Linked DNA regions of Solanum lycopersicum. The protein of the gene in region 2 interacts with the protein of the main gene of each other region in a biochemical or structural test. Links are inferred from orthologs where the notes say so. Each region holds a gene or a part of one and is shown on either strand. Other genes may lie near its edges.

Region 1 (3,829 bases), on a different chromosome or scaffold from region 2:
CTGAATATTGGTATCCACCTCCTTTCTCCTAATTTAGGATGCTCTATTTCTAGACATATAGGGGAATACTCTATTCTAGTGGTCGGTGTCTGGTTGCAACTAGTTTTAGATGTTTATATGTCTTATTTGATTTAATAAGAGCTATCCTTGAGTGCCCAATGTGATTTAATCTACGCTTCGGCATTTCAGGTTGCTGTTGCTCTTTCACATGCTGCTATATTAGAAGAATCAATGAGGGCTAGGGATCTTCTTATGGAGCAGAATGTGGCTCTTGATCTGGCAAGAAGAGAAGCAGAAATGGCTGTTCGTGCACGTAATGATTTCTTGGCTGTTATGAATCATGAAATGAGAACTCCCATGCATGCAATAATTGCACTTTCTTCCTTACTACAAGAAACTGATCTAACTCCAGAGCAACGTCTGATGGTTGAAACAATCCTCAAAAGCAGCAACCTTTTAGCAACGCTCATCAACGATGTCTTGGATCTTTCAAGGCTAGAGGATGGAAGTCTTCAACTTGATATTGGCACTTTCAATCTCCATGCTTTATTTAGAGAGGTGCCCTTCATCACCCTCTTTTCTTTTTTACTTGCAAATTCTAGATTACCTGTCAGGAAAAAAAGTGTCATTACAGATATTTTGCACTTCAATATGTTTGCTGGACCTGCTGACTGATATATGTGTCTGCTTATTCCTGTAGGTCCATAGCTTAATCAAGCCTATTGCATCTGTGAAAAAGCTGTTCGTCACACTTAGTTTGTCGTCAGATTTGCCGGAATATGTAATTGGGGATGAAAAACGGTTAATGCAAATTCTCTTAAACGTTGTTGGCAATGCTGTAAAGTTCTCAAAGGAAGGCAACGTATCAATCTCCGCTTTTGTTGCAAAATCAGACTCTTTAAGAGATCCTAGAGCCCCTGAATTTTTTGCTGTGCCTAGTGAAAATCACTTCTATTTACGGGTGCAGGTATATTTTTACAAGCTTGATATACTATCTTCGTAGGTTAAGGATAGTCACAAATATGATATTTTAGACTTATAACTGTCAGATGTTCTGTTCTTGATATTTGTAATATTCTAAGTAATACTTTCTGTAGATAAAAGATACGGGGATAGGAATTACACCACAGGATATTCCCAACCTGTTTAGCAAGTTTACACAAAGCCAAGCGCTAGCAACTACAAATTCTGGTGGCACTGGGCTTGGTCTTGCAATTTGTAAGAGGTACGGGGTACCCAGTTCCTTAGTGTTCTTTTTCCGACTCTGATTTTCATTTTGCTACGTGAACTTGGTAACTGCTTCATATTCAATTTCTTTCCTCTTACTGTATTTAGTATTGACACATCTTCTGATGGGACACAAAACAGGTTTGTGAATCTTATGGAAGGACATATTTGGATTGAAAGTGAAGGTCTTGGCAAGGGGTCTACTGCTATATTTATCATTAAACTTGGCATTCCTGGACGTGCAAATGAATCTAAGCTCCCCTTTGTGACCAAATTGCCAGCAAATCACACGCAGATGAGTTTTCAAGGATTAAAGGTTTTGGTGATGGATGAGAATGGGTGAGTACTATCTGGACCCCTTTATCCTCAGCTCTTGTCTTGCCATGCTGTTTAATGATCCATCTAGTTCGTGAGTTTCTCATCTTATATGTATTGAGCTGTCTTACTCACTTTTACATGAGACTGAACAAGTAAATACTTAATAAGAGAGTACTGAAATTAGAATCTTTACAACTATATGTGGATGTGCTGGTGACATGTACTTAGGAGTATATGCCTTTTTCTAGGGCTAACCCATCGGTGGCCCCCTAAAGTTGGCATCAACTTTCACTTAGACACCTGAACTAGACTTTGTTCATTTTTGACATCTCATGTGAGGCTCTGATGTATCATTTAACACTTTTTGCTTTTTGCTGATATGGCATAGTGAGTGTGACTCACTCATTAACAGCGCGTCAGACTCTTTTTCAGCCAATTTTTATTTTATATTTCCTTCTTCTTCCCCATTTTTTCAACCACCATTTTCTCAAGTTTGAACTTCTTCCATGGTGAGATATATTCGATGATGCCACAAACGAGGAATCTAATTTCAAATGTCAGAGCTTTCTCCAAGATTTCCCAAGGATGATGCCCTTCTTCCTCAATTTAATTTGAGGGAAAAAGACTGAAATTTGAAGAAAAAAAAAGAAATTTGGGGAAGAATAAAAAATCATTAAAAAATGAGATAATCTCCTTAAAAGAAACTTAATAATGTGATATGAACACGTACACATTTGTATTTTTAGAAGTTCATTGGATCTTAGATTTTTTCTTTTTTAAGCAATAAAATCTGTAGAATTTTCTTTTAGCAATAAAATTTGCGGAGCTGCAATTATTTGAAAAAATTTGAGTTACACAAGTTCACTGAAGGGGTGTGTGCAGTGAGAAGACCATGAATGGGGTGGGGTTGGGGTGGGATATGCTTCTCCTAAAGATTTTTTAAGGTGATTTAATCCTTTTTAATATTATTTGGGAAGAAATGCCACGTGTCATCGATCCATTAGCCAATTTTTCTAAAAAAATAATAGATAGTTTATTATTTTGAAGAGAACGACAAGTGTCCTCATTTAATTTGACACTTTACACATCATCCGCGAGTGGAACACACTCACCATCATATTTTTGTTGAATGTAAAAAAAGTGCTAAATGACGCATCAGGGCCTCACATGAGGTGTCTAAAATGAACAAAGTCTAGTTCAGGTGTCTAAGTGAAAGTTAATGCCAACTTTAGGGGGCCACCGTTGGGTTAGCTGCTTTTTCTAATGAAAAGAAGGAAAAGTTAAGGATTTACAGTGTCAGGATCGCGAGAAGGGAAGGAGAGATCACCAGCCTGACCCTAGGAGCTCACATCTTTATCAGAGTATATGCCTTTTTTCTAATGAAAAGAAGGAAAAGTTTAGCATTTACGGTATCAGGATCGCGAAGAGGGAAGGAGAGATGACCAGCCTGACTGTAGGAGCTCACATCATTATCTCTAATTGGAAGAAGGAAGTGACCAACTGGAAGTAGTGCTTTCAAATCCAATAAAAGGGTATACTGCTCTTCCAGAAATAAGAGGATGGAGGAAAGAGTGACTTCATAGATGTCTTAATACAAGTCTTTGCTATGTATGCATCGAATTAAAAATGTCAGTCAATCTGGTTCGCCTTAGTATATATATATATATATATATATATATATATATATATATAACAGTAACAGATTCCCTTTTCTCTTATCCTTTTATCGTCCCACCGCACCCCTGCCTTCCACACCGCTATTGATATCTTTAACCTGAGGTATTATAAATTGAACGCAGTTGTTTTATTGTCGGATAAGAATTTGTATGATTGGTAATCCTACGACTCTGTGATCGTTGCTTTTCTCTTTTTGATGTGACCTCATTATTATTATTTTTATTATTTATCCTACCTGATTATATGATTAGTTGACATTAGTTATCAGAATTGTTTTTGTTTCTTATACTCCTTCATGCAGTGTTAGCAGGATGGTAACCAAAGGTCTGCTTACACACCTTGGATGTGATGTAACTACTGTTGGCTCACGCGATGAGTGCTTGAGAGTTGTTACACATGAACACAAGGTAGTTATCATGGATGTCAGCATGCAAGGTATAGACTGTTACGAAGTTGCTGTAGTGATACATGAAAGGTTTGGGAAACGTCACGGTAGGCCACTTATTGTGGCATTAACGGGGAACACAGACAGAGTTACGAAAGAAAACTGCATGAGAGTTGGTATGGATGGAGTTATCCTAAAACCTGTGTCAGTGTATAAAATGAG
Region 2 (3,212 bases):
TGAAATTTGAAATATAAGAGGGAATAATGTAGTACTATTTTTTCAAAATAGATTATTTATATATGTTTACAAAAAATTAATAATTAAATTTTTATTGAACCTATAACGATGACAATAATTTCAACTAAAGATAAGGATAAAGAGTTTTTTTATTGGAATATGGTTGTCCTCTTCTAGCCATTCACATTCATCCTTTTTGATCTTTATACTCCTTTTATTGCAATTAGGTCACAAATCTAAAAAAAAACAAAAAATTAATCACAAAAAGTTATTTACATATTTTGAGAACACAAAGTTTCTCATATTATGTCACAAAAAATTAATCACACAAAAGTTATTTACATATTTTGAGAACACAAAGTTTCTCATATTATGTCGAGAGAAGTATTATTCTCCTCTAACAACCAATAATGAGTTGCGATGGAATCACTAAGAATCTTTAGTTAAATAAAATGTGACGAGCTCAAACCCTAAGTAAGAAAAACACCTATTACGTAGCACTTTCCCCTCTTGCGCGATAAAGTGCAAACTACAACACAACACATACCCCGTGTAGTCCCACATAATGAGTTTGAAACGTTTAACTTACGCTTACCTCGGAACTAGAGGACCAAGTGGTTTCTTATGCCTACCTCAGAGCTTAGAGGACGAGGTGGTTTCTGATAGACCCTCGGATCAAGGAAAGTAGTAATATAACAACAACCTTTTGATATTAAAAGTAATTCAGAGGTAGAGGTTGTTTCCATTGGTTCAAGATGGCACTATGGAAACAAAAAGCAAGAAAACTGCATATCTTGTAATAACATCTTTTCCCGCCTTTTAGCCCGTTTCATTTCACCATTGCAGTTTTACAGTAACCTCGTTACAACATTTTATCCTATGTATACAGATTGAGGTACAAGGGATGGGGGTGAATAAGCTGCAAAGATTCAAAATACACATGAGGTGCAAGGGAGGTATAGTTGGGGAGGGGGGGATAATTCACAGAAACTAAGAACAAGTCTAACAATGGTGATCTCACCAGTCATTTGCTATGAACTGAGAAAAGAGCGTTACAAGACGAAAGGGGGTGATGAGGCAGACAGCGTTACTTTGCGCGGTCCGGCGACTCCAGCCACCTCCTGGTTTCCTACCGGCTTATTGGATAATCGACGTTTATAGCGCTTGAGGACGGATGCCAGGTTCTCTTTTCCTTTAGGAAAGGCTACATCCCCTGCTGCAGTGCCCGTTCGTCCCTTTCGACAGGAAATTGCTGTCTCCACGTCTTTGATCATCTCTAAGAGCATTGCTGCAGTCGTGCATTTTCCTCGACCCTGTTTTGCTTGTGGCGGCAAGTTTCCATTAGAAATTGGAGGGGGGCTTGCCTTTTGCTGGCGGCCAGCCGGAATTTGAAGACAAAAACAATGGCTCGTCGGAGAATGGGGCTTTGAAAATGCCAGATCTACTATGCCCTGAAGTTGGTAAATGATTCATCAGATGAATAATAAATCTCACACTACGGTTGACACATTGCCATTTCTTGAGCATCAAGACCAACTCAACTATTACTCTTTCCCGCTGTTCCGAGAAAGGAAAATTTCAAACAAATGACCCCTAGCTTACGGTTTTGTGGCGTCTTTGATGCTTTTAGCACTTGTTTAGCCACCTTAAAATGGAAGGACCAGGATAGTCACTACAATATCTTTTTTGGCACGCTACAAGGTCCAACAATGAATCTAACACAAATGCGGTTTATTTAAACCTTAAATGATGTGATATAAGCTTTAAAGAGGGTTTTCATGAAGGATTGTGTGGTAACACCAAAAAGCATGCTTCATTTCTCCAATGCTCAAAAAAAAATTATTGAAAGAAACATAGAACTTCAAGAATTCTGTGAATGAAGAAAAAGATAGATAGGATATGAGGCTTTACCTGAAGACGGTTGAGAACATAGGTATATTTGCCCCACAACTCTGGCCTACTTTCCATAAGTGAAAGCTCAAGAATTCTGTGAATGCACCACACACCGAAGCTTATAATCAGATCTACTTTCCAAACACAACCTTCTCCGCAGTGGGGAACTGACATCACCAAGAACTTGGTGTAATCCATCTCTTCAGGTTTTGGGGCAGAACCGGGTTTCCTGTTGGAAGAGAAGTGTGATTCACCAATGTTGGTCAATCTACTTATCTCCCTAGTTTCAGCTTCATAGAGAAATTTCTCTCTTGCAGCAATCCGACCTATAAGATCCTCATCAGCCCCATCATCTTGCCTAAATAACCACTCAGATCCTTCCAGTTTCAAAAGTTTCACAATACAACTTCTGAAAGACTGAAGCAGCTTAGCTTCCAAGTCAACCGTAGATGTACTCTCTTGAGCAGAGGAACTCAGCACAGTTCCATGATCGCCGCTACCAACATCTGGCTTACCAGCTACACCAAATTGCTCAAAAGGCTGTCTAGACCACAGGGATCCATTCCCTGAATTGGAGCTGTACTGCAAGGAGAATGCATCTCTGCAGACTTTAGGAGAATGTTCATACCTCTGAGGACCACCTGCCCTTAGTGAACCACTCATATAGGCTTGTTCGTATGTAGATCGACCACCAGATTGTCCGAATCCCATGGAATTGTACCATTGAGCTCTCGCATCTGACACTATAGAATCTTGGCGAGGAACATAGCGCCCTGAGATATCAGGCAAGCTGTAGTACTTCTTAGAGTTGGCTGAACCAGCCACGCTTTCAGCAGTTTCAGTAGAGCTATGGTCGACAGAAGTAGTGTTAGTGGGCTGCATCGAATTATTTCGGCCTACAGGGACATTTCCAAAACCAGGTGGTGCTCGACTACTGACTCCACTCTGAGGTTTTTGCCCCGAAACACGAGCCAATGGTTCTGCATAGTTTGACGTCAGTGATGATACAGAACGAGGAGATGGTGACTCCAGTTGCCCATTTAAATAATCAGATCCTCTTTCTTTCGCAAGTTGATTAAGGTAAGCAGTAATCTGATATCCATGCACAGTGGCAGGCTGCTGATCATAGCCAGCAGAAGTCGCTGGAATCCGCATACTAGAATAGCGCCTCTCCCCTGAGTCAAGCATGTTGCTGTTGGAACTTTGCACATATGCACCTACTAATTTCATATGGTTAGACCACATAGAAGATGTCGAAGATGGCTCCTTTGGGACTCTATAAGCAGAGTCCACAATGTTAGACGCAAATTGCTGCTTGG

The links.
Region 1: the proteins of EIN2 (region 2) and ETR1 form a complex in vitro, tested with the Arabidopsis thaliana proteins (2 studies listed by BioGRID). The link is inferred for Solanum lycopersicum from reciprocal best matches to the Arabidopsis thaliana genes EIN2 and ETR1.

What each region holds. Positions count from the first base shown.
Region 1 is NC_090811.1:4,583,203-4,587,031, forward strand, and holds part of ETR1 (ethylene receptor 1), read left to right. Parts: intron 1-189; coding exon 190-558; intron 559-700; coding exon 701-967; intron 968-1,097; coding exon 1,098-1,225; intron 1,226-1,368; coding exon 1,369-1,566; intron 1,567-3,523; coding exon 3,524-3,829. UniProt on the Arabidopsis thaliana protein: Ethylene receptor related to bacterial two-component regulators. Acts as a redundant negative regulator of ethylene signaling.
Region 2 is NC_090808.1:1,899,757-1,902,968, reverse strand, and holds the end of EIN2 (ethylene-insensitive protein 2), read right to left. Parts: coding exon 1,912-3,212; intron 1,452-1,911; coding exon 1,053-1,451; 3' UTR 795-1,052; downstream 1-794. UniProt on the Arabidopsis thaliana protein: Central factor in signaling pathways regulated by ethylene (ET) and involved in various processes including development, plant defense, senescence, nucleotide sugar flux, and tropisms.